Linked DNA regions of Styela clava. The protein of the gene in region 1 interacts with the protein of each later gene in a pairwise test. Links are inferred from orthologs where the notes say so. Each region holds a gene or a part of one and is shown on either strand. Other genes may lie near its edges.

Evidence for each region.
Region 2: the proteins of histone-lysine N-methyltransferase SUV39H2-like (region 1) and uncharacterized protein LOC120327991 interact in binary tests that used the Drosophila melanogaster proteins (3 or more experiments, as listed by UniProt). The link is inferred for Styela clava from reciprocal best matches to the Drosophila melanogaster genes Su(var)3-9 and His1:CG31617.

The regions. Positions count from the first base shown.
Region 1 is NC_135258.1:20,715,319-20,722,432, reverse strand, and holds the start of histone-lysine N-methyltransferase SUV39H2-like, read left to right. Parts: upstream 1-4,096; 5' UTR 4,097-4,203; intron 4,204-4,860; 5' UTR 4,861-4,896; coding exon 4,897-5,355; intron 5,356-5,695; coding exon 5,696-5,860; intron 5,861-6,439; coding exon 6,440-6,643; intron 6,644-7,114. UniProt on the Drosophila melanogaster protein: Histone methyltransferase that specifically trimethylates 'Lys-9' of histone H3 using monomethylated H3 'Lys-9' as substrate.
Region 2 is NC_135256.1:12,943,387-12,949,725, forward strand, and holds uncharacterized protein LOC120327991, read left to right. Parts: upstream 1-4,764; 5' UTR 4,765-4,844; coding exon 4,845-5,417; 3' UTR 5,418-5,836; downstream 5,837-6,339. Other genes in the region: galactose-3-O-sulfotransferase 3-like, read right to left, coding at 461-574. UniProt on the Drosophila melanogaster protein: Histones H1 are necessary for the condensation of nucleosome chains into higher-order structures.

The DNA.
Region 1 (7,114 bases):
TATTTTCTGTGGATCTATACAAGATCATTTTAAATTAGTCTGGTTCTTTGTGAGTTTGCCAATGCACATTTTGCCTCGTTTGTCATTAATAATATTGCAAAAAAATATAGGTGCCTTAGTATTACTACTTTATTATAAAATGTTTTGTATTCCTTGACCAATTTTTACTACCGTCCTATCATCTTGTACATACTTTTTTATATAAATGATAATGCTTCATTCAATTTCTGGCCATGTCCAAAAGTTTCTGTTCCTATTGAATATCATTATTAGCACCATTGGCTAAGTTTTGAAATCATGTAATTTGCCTTATATTGATTTTTTAATCTAACTTTTGTACAGAAGTGCTGCTCCATTTTGTTGCTTGCTCTATGTTAATTGTATGTTACTCATTCAGACTTAAGTCCAAACACTTGAATCATGCAAAATAGCACAGATAGCAGCGGTTACCATGACCAACAGATAACTGCTCAAATGCTAGCATCAATCAACTCACTGAGTAATCTAACAGTAGTAAGATATTTTCAAAAGATTGTACTGATCTATAGCTCCGCAATTTATTAGCTAATTGGCTTCAATTAATCTATGAAAGATGCACAGTATATATTCATGTTGGTGTAATCATTGTTCTTAGCTTATGCCTGAATTTTCATGACCAATAAATAAATGTGAGCAAGTAATGCTGGTATCAATTACATGTATACTCAAAATACGCCAGGGGCATTAAAAACTACAGACATGTTTGTTGGGGGCTCGTTCATCACACACATAAAATATTAGTCAAGTAAACTCTTTCATGAAGTTCAAAATGCAGCAGCTTTAGGCACTTGCTGATCAAAATCATAAGTACCAACACAAATTAAACGAACATATTGCTGCGATATGGTAGTTTATCAAGTTAATGGTGTAGTGGAAAGTCAACGAAGTTTTTCTCTCCGTAGAGTCTCGAAACAGAACAACAGAAACTCTGTTGTGATTTCGTTTTTGCTTCTATTTTTCTCGGAACTTCTCAAATATTTAATGTCTTATGCCCCTCGAACTCGATGGTTTTCCAGTATAAATGCACTGTCATTTATTTATACACGATGTCGGTGCAGTTCAACTCGGTGAAAATTTTACCTAGGTTCAGGAAAAACAATAGCAATACGTAGCCGTACGCGTACATGATTTGAATAAAAATATATCTGTCAATAGCATATGTACTAAAAATGATTACGTCTTCATGGACGTTTGTTGCGGGGACAACATCATAATTTTAAGCTGCAGACAGTGTTCCCTCTAAAGTGTGCGCGTGTGCGCGCGCACACAGCTTTCAGAGGTCGCGCACACGCATAGATTTACTGCGCACAGACATATTTCGATGTAATGTAACAATGTTCTCGGTTGGTAGGTTGAGAAAGTTTGTTGTTGGCCCACTTATTACCCGGTTAGAACGCCAAAATTTCTTCATTGATTTTTGCACAAATATAAGTCATTTCCAAAAGAGTGCGCACACACCAAAATTTCTGCGCACACATACTACAAAAAATTAGAGGGAACATTGGCTGCAGAGCAAATTTTCCCCCAGTAGGGCAATAAATTTGCTAATAATAGACAATAACACCACTCCGCTTTACACCCGAAATGGGCTATAAATTATCCCAGTATTGAAAAGAGCTCGATTTTGCAGCTATGTAACAAAATGAACCAATTTCTACTCTGATACTTGTCCACACAGCGTGCATAAATACGCTTTTGCAAATTTTTTGGTTGATGGAAAATGTACATTGCGATAGAAACGCTCGCGATATCCACGACTTTATATTGCTGGGTCGAGAGATCAATTGAATCGGTGCGATAAGATGCCGAAATTGATAACGATTGTCGTACTGGCCTTTTTCAGATAACATAACGGATATTTTTCTAAACGAGATTCAAATGTGCATAGGGCGAATTGATTCTTTGATAGATGATATTCCCGCCTCATTACAGACAATACAAATTCGATAAGAGAAAAATAGCATGTTGCGGAGACATGCACCTTTGATGTGTTTGCTGTACTCTTCTACCCTTGCTTGGAGTACCTTGTAATTATTTTTAGATGCTGATCAGCGACGCATGAGATTAGCTGAATGTCGATCCATATATACGCGTTTAAGCAAGTTGAACTAGGCTCGTGTGAAACTATTGCATAGACGCGGATAGATTTGAGTTGTTTTATATTTTTTATCATTCATCAAATTTTTCCCAGCTCCCATTAATTAATATTTATTCGGAAGTTTGAGAGTGCATAGAATCATTTATCACATTCCCAAGATTTGTTTTTTTAACTTAGGCTACACTTCGCTTTCACGCATTGTACAAAACTTCAAAAGTTCTATGCATTTCCATCATCTCCCCATTTTGACCAAACTTTGGTTATCCATTTCCGCGTCTTTTTAGAAAGATAACGTCATAGACTAGCAGCCGAAGGTTTTTTTGGGGGTATCACCCTGCATATCGTGTATCGCCGTAAAGATCTTGTCTCATTAGTCATAAATCATTGACATTGCAATAAATTAATCGCACGAGATTTCATAATGACTAACACCGATTAGACTGCATAAGCTATTGATGATGTTTATGTCTTAGGCTTCCAATACATTCGTTAACCTTGGAATTCACACTGTGAGGATTTAAAACAAATGTCCGACTTTCTGCACTGAACGCAAATTGGTCTGTTCTTCAAGGTGATGTGGTATTATATGACAACATAAACAGCAGGAAATTTCTCTGTCAACTTACGTGTTTCATGTAACACAAGTCTATTCTTTCCAGCGCATTTGAATTCCAGCGAAAAAAGTTTACGACGACTCCTTAATGCTGTTTGAATTATACTTATGCGTCATCGATTGTACGATTTCTTGGCGAAATAAAGAAGGTGCAATTTTTTCCTAAAATGTTACTGCTAAATATCACCTGTTTGTCAACAATAATACCATTTGAGGTAATTACATAATTACTAAAGCGAAGTAAAACAGAAGATTCGGTCATATTTTTTATTTTCATAAGTAATGAGTTAGTTTTTGTTTGCATGTAGTGTATGTTCATTTTGGTGAAAAACTACTGACTGACTATCGTACAAACTTTACTCTTCAAAGTTCAAACATGGCCAACTTCCGATCTACATCTGAAAATTTGCACCTACTCGTTTTTAAACTTGCCAAGACCGAAGTATTCATTTAAACATATTTATTGTAATCAACGATGCAAGTCGGATTATTTTTATAAACACCAAAGTCGATGGAAAATCTCCAAAAATGACATCATTTACGGTTTGCAGAGTCGCCTGTAGGCTAAGGCTAACTAATCTCATACCCATCATGGACCAAAACCCTGACGAGCGGCCATGTTTCGCCATAGGAATAGGTTGTTTTATCGACTTTTCTTTCTCCCGGGATAAATATGTATACCATATCCGATCCCAAATCCTCCTACCCCAACGACTAAATCCTGAATTTGCTCCCACTGTTAATTTTGTACGCCGCAAGAGGTCGCGTGCAGGATATTTGTCAAGCGACAAGCCCTTACGAAGGCGCGAAAACGCGAATTGGCGGGTTGTTGTCGGGGTGTCTGCGTTTGTTTTTTCGGCTTCGAATACGGGATGTTGGTGTTTATTTAAAACCTTTTCATATTATGACCCTGTATAGGCTACCAGACATGCGACAACCCATATATATTTCTGTATTTTTTTGTTATCCAGTTATCTGGATTTTATAAAGCATTGGTCACTATTGTTGTAACTTCGAATGGTGAAATTTAGGTACGGTACCGTAACTCTGCCTTTGGGTTAACTTATTGCAGTATGTCATAACTCTTGTTCCAACAAACGAAAAAAAAAATTTGTGAACGCGCAGATATTAAGGATTGGAATATCTGTCCGCCATATACCGAGACCACAAAAAATGACCTCATATTTCAGTATTTAGACAATGCAGGAACTGAGGAATGCGAGAACGGGAGAATTCGGGTTATGTAAGGGAGAGTGGGATTACAGATTTATTACAACCTGAACCTCGTAATGGTGTTACAAGACACAATAAAATTTTGACTTTAAATTTTACAGTGAAAAATATCAGATAAAGAAAATAGTCCAAGATAGAACTTCATTAAACACTTCTTTCTTTGTTCGCATATCAACCAAATTTCGAGTATGGTATAGGCAGATAGGAACTACTGAACTAGGTAAAACACCGACCCCAGTACGGCACAGTTAAAAAATACCAGGAAATTCTCGATATTTGAATATTAACTATTACTGTATTATAAAGATAAATACAAACCCTTTTACAGTAGAGCACAGTTTTCTGATTCCAAAATGTCCCAATATTTGGTTCAATAAAACAAACACTTTATTTGTTTGAATTGCATTTTTTTGCTGAAAGCTCTTGAATGCGTTAAAATATTTTTTTTTTTCGTGTAACAGATTCTTTTTTCCACGGAACTCAACTGTGACGTTTTAAAATAGCTCTTTCTTTTAGTTTATTTTGCAGTGCCGATCAATGTAGAGGCCCAGACTGTCTCGTAAAGGAGGGTTTGCACTAACTGTTATAACTGATATCTTTTTATTTGGGGACTGGAATCAAAGAGCTGTGCTGTGCTGCTTTCAGTACTGCAGTAGGAGACAGTCTGACTGTGCTGCCCCCATGCCCCTCCAAGTTCTTTCCTTTGCATTTTACATTTTTTTGCTAAAAGTTTTTTGTCAGCATATCAAACACCCTCGTTTCCCTTTCAAATAGAATGGTTTTTTATATATTAAATATCGGGACATCATCTCATTATCTGTTTCACTTCTTTATATTTTGCCACATTTTTAAATGTTCCTAATGTTATTTTTTGTAGTGAATTTTTCAACATTTTGATGCCGTTGTCTTTTTCATGATGACAAATTCCAACAAAGAAGAAGAAGAGCATTCAATTGCTTCTGAGGCATCGGAAGTTGTGAAGACTGACAAGATGCCTCTAAAGAAAATCAAGCCAAACAGTGAAATGGACTTGTTCCCTGTTGTTCCTGTTCTTTTTGTTCAAGAATCATTGATATTAGAAGCGGCTAAAAAAGGACTAACTGTTTCATCAAAATACGCAGTACCAAGCAAATACAAAAAGAGAATGGCCTCTACTTATGCAAATTGTGCTTGGTTTTATTCTGGTAAAGCAGTAAAAAAAGTTGAAAACAATAAAGACAAAAATCCTAAAAGAGTTTACAAAGTTGCAAAACGAAGACTACCTCCATCCAGAAAATTATTACTGACTGCTCATCAAACTAGCGCATTAAAAATGAGAAAACCAAACAATATGTATGAAGTGGAATATATTGCAGACATTCGAATAGTGAAAGTATGTTTTTAAACATTACGAAACTGAAAAAAATTTATTTTCAGAAAACATTCTTTTATTTGCGATATTTGTTAGTTTTCATTCAAATACTATTGAATATTGCTTCAAACTATGATTCAATATCAACTTAAAGAGCACATATTTCTTTATAATATTTTCAAACAAGATTTTTCAAAATTTCAGTATTTGCCCTCTTCTCTCAAACCTTTGTATTGCTATTAGATCTTTTGCTTACAATATTCTCGCAAATACACAATTGGCAAGAGTCATCAGAGTGACATATGGTGAGGACATCAACAAGTATTGTATATATTTTCTATATTCAATGTTTTGTTTTTAGAATCAGAGATATTATTTAGTGAAGTGGGTTGGATGGCCAGAAGAAGCAAATACTTGGGAATCATCTGTCAATCTAAGTTGTCATTGTCTAATCAAAGAATTTCATGAAGATTATGATTCACAACTGAATAGTTTTTTTACGAAGGAAAACCTTTCATGGCATAAAGTGAGAGAACAGGCATATTTGTTTTACTGATGATAGTCTTGACTTCATTGAATAACAATGTTGATTCGACCAAACAATTTTAGCTTGTTTTTTTGATTCAACAATTACATTCTTGTAAAACTGAGTAGTCATTCAGTCTCTAATCTTGTTTCGTGTTTGAATGAAAGCTTCAGAAATATGATACAAGTTTGTATTGCATTTTGTTCCACAGTACCTATTCTAAGCCATATGTTTTATAATGAAGAAATGCTTCCATTTAATGAATTTTGGAAACAGCTATGGTAATCTTTCACTAGTAATAGTGGATCTTGCCCACTTAATGACTGGAAGCTCAAATTAATATTTTTGTAACTCTGCTCGACTTTGATGAACAGTCTTTGAATACTTCATCCTTCAATAGGCGACAATCTTACTAGCAATTTATACTAAGAAGGTATTTGAAGAATGTGTCAGACTCAAACCGTTGTATATATTTTAATTTCTAGTGTCAATTGTCGATAATGCCAATTTCTCAAACTTTTTCTTATTGATTGATGTTATAAGCGATTCATTTCTGTATTCTTTCTATCACTGTTTCAGTTACTGCTGGGAAGGAATGGAATCCACCAAAACACATGTACACAACGACTCTTCAATGCAATTCCAAAATCATTTAAATATCTATCAACATATGGTAGGAAAAAATCAGAACTTCGAAACCAATTAAAGGCTTGGCAAGATGTTGTCAATGAATCTTCACAGGGCCTTCCATATGTGGTTGTGGAAAATGAAGTCAATATGGAGGTTTGATTGATTTCTTACTCAAATATAGTCAAAAGATAATGGGAGCATCTATGATCAGTGATAAGGGGTGAGAAACTTTCTCACATTCATAAATTGGTTTCAGATCTGACACGATTGCTATCAAAACAAATAAACTCCCTTTCATAAGCAAACGGGATGATGGGATGATTAAAGATTACGCCTGACAAAAATGTCTTCAAATATTAAAAAACAAGTTGAAAATCACTGAGCCATCTCATTGAAAAAAAATCATGGGCTATGATTAGTCTACTTGTTTAATTGATTTATAATTAATTTTACTACATAGCCTGTTAGGGGACGATGATGGAGTATAGGGTGCTGTAAGGCATAGGTTCTCAAAGTGCTCCGCACGGAGCCCCAGGGCTCCGCGAGAGAAACCTAGGGGCTCCGCGAGCTATTCGATCACTTTTCAAAATACTGACTTGGCTAATTTTGTAACTGTTCAAAGGA
Region 2 (6,339 bases), on another chromosome or scaffold:
TCGTTTCAATAAAATAATTAACGATAGACGCACTAATGCTTGTTTGTTACCCCAATAAGGTGTTGTTTGTCAACCCAAACTCTCAATGATAGCTATAGTAAGAGACATTATACCCAAAATAAATATATCTTCGAGCTGAAAACATGTTAATTTCTTATAATTAATGTTATTGACAAAAAAGCATTGAATTGAAAAATCTTCGAGTAATTTTTCGGTTACCGATTCGTTTAAGTCTTGCAACATCGTTATATTTATATTACCATGGCTTCTTTTCAAACCAATCGAATGAAATTCGCAAACTATCGTGGTGAAACCTTGATGAGCCTCATTCCCTGATGTCCAAGTTCACGGAAAAAGTCATTTTTTGTTTAGTAAATTCATAAAATTGATATAAATAGTACACCTGAGTAGTCGTAATTAATACGTTTCGACAAAAAAAAAATTAATACGAATAGCACACCTGAGTAGTCTTTATTGTTTCTATAGACCTAAATATGCTTTCCCGAATAGAAATAAAACTTAGAAAAATAATACCAGAGCAAATTACCACTAGAAAGATAACACTCTTTGACATAACGATTAACTAAATAACACACGTTTAACGACAAATTATCGAATCTGCCACATTAAAATATATTTAATAGGCCAGGTATTGAATTCGTTGTTACACCTTAATGTTGTTAACACGCCTGTATTTCCGGAGATCGAAACAAAATGGTCGATATAAATTTATATTATTGGTATATTTTTATATATAAATATCAATTTATGGATCCTCAAATAAGTAATATAACTATCGGAAGTGATTGCTTGCAATTCTAAAATAATTCGTAATATATGTACATCGTAATAAATCAATGCGTAGAAAATTCCCTTTAAATATTTTTTGATGAAAAAAATATCACCCCCATCTAGTTCACATATGTTTGATAATTATAGAGTCGTATTAACCAAAAAAATCTTCGGAACGAGAGTTTGAGATTACGGTCATATGGTAGTATGCCTTGAAACCGGGTTTTGCGGTCCTAGATATGTTGAAGATAACATGTTTTTTTCTGAAGGCTGAAAGTTAGGCTTGAGTCTACCCAAATTATTATATCCTTGATTGATGGCAGCAGTGAATTTAAACCTGAGATTCCAACCTGCAACGCTTCCATTTCATCGTGATGATTGTTGTTAATGGACACGTCAGTGTACGTAACGATCGTTTCAATATTATGTTGCTGCACTTGTTTTTCTTCTCCTTCGTCATGATAAAATCGCTTTTCTCTTTTCTTCGAATACTGGACCAATTGCTTTTTCAGTGGTTAAAGATTGAGCCAGAAGGCTATTACTTATTTCAAAAATTTCTGTGGACTTCAGGAGATTCGTCTTTTATGTGTCGAGATAAAAAAAACTTGTGACGTGTTCATATAATTGAGCATAGCTCTCTTGTTAATTAATGTTTATAACTATTTTATATTTTCTAGCTCAGTGGTTCTCAACCTGTGGTACGCGCACCACTAGTACGCGAAGCTTTTCAAGTGCTACGCGAGCAGATATGAATTATTGCAACAATTAACCTTTCAGTTGGCTAACGCTTTATCTTCCTTACTGTATGTATTGGCTGAACAGCGTTTATGGATGTTTCACCAAGCATCAGTTTCCTTGTTTATTTCCGTAAACATGCAATCAGCAATAAGTCAATAATGACGCAACAGATAACAATTGCAATTTCTGCACCCAGCCGCTAAGACACTTCTGTCGCTCAAACAGATATTCAAGCATAGTTGCAAACATTGCCTCGTTGTTGTAGCTTTGAGTGATATTCGTCAGTTTTCAGTTGTGTTTCAAGAAAATAATTGTGAATTGATAAACTTAATTGTCATTAAGTCTTCCGCGGAGCTTTACTTTAATTGCAGCAGCAATCAAAAATGAATCTCGCAAGTGCTCCGATGGACAAGGCTAAACTTAGCTATATCAGTACCTGCAAACGACACATGGTTGATTAATTTTTATTAAAAATGATGGTTTCAAACATGTAAACCGGTTTATATGCGCCAACACATCAAAACACTCTCAGAATAAGCATAAATTTTGCAATAGTAAAGTATAGGGATAATTCTTTCGGGGAAACACACATAGCCCTGGTGCGCTGCCAGTTCTTGTCTTTAGACTTTAGAGATCGCCCTCGCCCGCCATTACCCACCTTAAACAAAGCGATGTGGGTATTTTTTGTCCGTTTTGCGTCTACGTCACAAAGGATGTAGTGCCACATTATAAAATACTCCCATAGCTCTAGCTCAATGAACCTTTTCCTATAATCGTCTTGAAAAGTGTATACTGACTGCAAAATTTTAAATGTACGGCAGTTACGTTTTTCAACAAAATTTTGCAAATTCAAACATCGTAGCGAACTAAATCACATATATGATGCTTCTTTGAAGTTTAAAAATTTATAAATTTGACGCCGCCGATAAACGCGTTTATGTACCGATGGAGAAAATATTAATGCATTGGATCATGATCGATCTAGTGACCTTTCACACTTTTTTTTATTCGAAAAAATACTTGATGTCAGAATTTTTATCCAATTTGTAATAATGAACGCGCCTTCTCAACGTCTATTCGTCTAGGTCACGGGATGGCGCTTTTTTGCAAAGCGTAGACGATTTCAAATGGGGAATGACGCACGAAAAAATTAACATAAGTTATTAGGCGTTAACTACCAGTTTCGACTACCTATCAATCAGAGCTCAACCGAATAGGATTTTTCGTCATTATTATTATTCATACATTTATACTACTACTGTAAAATTTATTCATGTAAAAACCAATTAGAAATGATAAATTGAGAAATTATGTATTCTTACATTTTTAATTAAATACGAATTCCGCAATAGTAACAAAATCAAAAACTAAAAAACGAACGAAAATATAAATATTTGTCGCAATATTTGCCCTCGCACCACACCCCTTACTATATACATATATCTACAACAGCTATCAAAAAAAATCCTATATTTGACCAATAAGCAAACCAATTTGAATTATAATCGCGTACACTGCAGGAGTTTGGTTGTTATAATCTTGAAAATATTGACATCAGACTTGTGAATTGTATATCTCAAAATTGAGCGCCATTTTATTATTTATTTCTATTTAATAAATTGCTATTCGCTTTGGGGTTCGAACATTTGCAATTCTCGTCAATTTTATTACAACTACAGTTAAGTATCAGGATTCGATCCATCTATAGTATCCATTTAATAACTACATCACATGTGAGAAAAGTAATATGGCTGTGTAAATCCGATTCATATATCCACTTTGAAATTAGTATTGATTTTTACAAAATATCATTGATTAGGAGATTGACAGAGAGCATTCCTAACACAGCAGCACCAGGGTAGACATATACTACAATAATAGTGTCAATAATAACAAAGACATTTGTTAAATTTGTAAGGTTAGCTTTTATTTGGAGTAAAATCAAGTACACGGTTGAACAACTCCAAGAAAACTGATATCCCACGGTATCTACACCCCATACCTGGAGAATATATAATTATTTAAAAGACAGGAGGATAATCAAGTGAAATTGAGATCTAACTTTCTTGACTTTGCTAAAAATGTGGCCTATTAGTATCTTACCTATTGTAATATTATCTTGGTTTGACGATTATCTAACTTTGCTTGCCTATTACAACTCACTTTTGTCACAGCGAAGCATTTCCAATAAATCTTTTTCATATATTCTGTTTGTTGCTTCATGGAAAAATTTGATATAATTTAAAAATAGAATTCTTCAAGTTGAAATTATCACAGATGAAATTTTGGGGGTGATTCACGAGAATCTCACCTAAAACTTCACACACATTTACTTTTACTTAAATTCTTTTATCTCCCACCCACCTCGTCTATCTGGAAAGAAGCTAACTAAATGCAAAACATATCAAATTCGAAAATTTCCCTGAAATCGGTTTTAATATAGGCCGAACAAATCATTTTCATTAATTTCAAATGGAAGTATAAGATTTTATACGTAAAAAATTATCGGTTCAAATAAGAACAACTAACACTTTTCAATCACGTTTGTGAAGTCATTTTCGCCATTTGCTTCAAGTAACTAAGAGTTAACAATACAATGGATATCGCGTTAAAGTATGTTCTTTGTTTAATTTCTGAAAATAATAGGAATGAGATATTCATTTTATTCTGAAAAATACCTTTTTTTAAATATTTATCAAGGGATAAAATATATAATCATATTCGAAGCAACAAGCAACATATTAGGTTTTTGAAAAGATTGTGTTTGAATGTTGACTTTTCAAATCAATTTTAAGCACTAACGAAACCAAATTTTTTTTTTTAAAGAAAATTTTGCAGTACCAAACGATACTATTTTTAGTATGTAAAAGCATTTTTTATGAAACAAAGATGAAAATGAAATTTTTAGAAGCATTTATTAGAATATTGAAGTTTTATATTCTTTTATTCAGACATGTTCATTTTACCAAGCCATTTAACGCCGTTCTACTAAACTTAGAATTACGAAAAACGAAGAGTGGGTTCAATGGACTCTCTGGTATTGTTTTGTCCTCGAATGAAGTTTAGATATATTATACATTTTAAAAAATATTGGTATTTCTACAACCGACAAACACAAAATTATCACGAAAGAAATTCTCTCGCGCCAAATTCTCGCAATATTTACCGTTCCGTTGACGTCCGCGCACTCGATGTGACGTCATATATTATATAGAAAAGGTTGTCGCAAAGGCAATGCGCATTCGAGAGAGAATATTGTGCGATAAGTACGCGTTTGGTTGCTGAAAATTTAATTTTAAACTAAAAACTTGAAAATGTCTGCTCAAAAAACCAAGAAGGCGAGCAAATCGCAGGATCACCCTACTTACCAGGTTATGGTAATCAAAGCTGTAAAACATGAAGGTTCTTCAAAAGGAGGGACTTCTCTCGCGAAATGTTGGAAATATGCTGCCGCAGAGTACAACCTTCCTAAGGACAAAAGAATTATATTTCGTAAGAATGTAGCCCGTCTTATCAAAGCTGGATATCTGGCTAATACAAAAGGCAACGGTGCTGCTGGATCGTTCAAACTGAGTAACGCGCAAAAAGACAAGGATAAGCAACTGGAGAGAACTCAGAAAGAAAAACAGAAAGCGATTAAAGCTAAAGCCGCTTTAAAAACCAAGAAAACAACAACCACAAAAACAAAAGTGAAAAAACCTGCCGCCAAGAAAGCCGCAACACAGAAAAAAACTGCAAAAAAGACCACGAAAAAAACGCCAAAGAAAACGACAAAAAAGCCCGCAGCAAAGAAGGTCGCTAAAAAATCCACCAAGTCCCCACAAAAGAAAGCGAAAGCAAAGAAAGCTACTCCTAAAAAGACCGGACAGAAGAAATCCAAGAAATAAATCAATATACATAAAACTTGAACTTTACAATAGCGTTACATGCTTATAAGAGTTGAAGCCAATGGAAAAGCACCGGGCGCACTGCTTACTTTTTATATTGTAATCCTGTTTTGGGGGATGAATATTCTGTCATGTTCATTTTGGAGCATGGTAAACAATCAATTTCCATGAGGATCAAAGTGAATCTTGACCTCATTGAGCTTTTTTTGTATAGTAGTTCCACAGAGTGTACTCCATATTCAGATTTTTTGACAGAACTCTATTTTTTCAGCTTGACTCACCGTTTATAAAACAAAATAAACGCACTTTTAGTAAGGGCCTTTTTGTTTTCTCTTTGATCATGCTTGAAAATGTAGTTTTTTGTTATTATCGTCGTTACGTTTTCTTTTTAATGAAATAAATATTATCATTAGTATAAACCCATCTACTTGTTTGTTACCCTATTTAGTGTGAAGGCGCCAATTTTAACAACAGCCGTTCAAAGTGTGGCGCGCGTTTTAAACGTATTCTTGTCGTCGTCACGTGCCGCTTATTTACAAAGCGTTGATGACGCCGTGAATAGAGCAGCGGCGGAAGATATCTTGAAGTACTGTAGTAACTAACAGCGATATGGGTTATCGCGGGTTCACAATCAAAGATTGACAAAATATTTTCATTTCAAATCGTGTTTGAAATTCAGATGATCTACTGTCGCCTGTCAGTTCGCCAGCTCTCGCGGTTGATGAAGATATGTGTAATAAAACATTTTTAGAGAGGTATTAGCGACACTTGTTACGAGCAAAGGTTAGATCAAATGTGCGGACACCGTATCGATACCGATGCAACATAATCAGATTAATAATGCACCTACATGGCAACACAGAATTCAAAATGTCATTTGAGTTTGCATTGTGAGGCAACAGAAATGAATAAGCTGGCACTG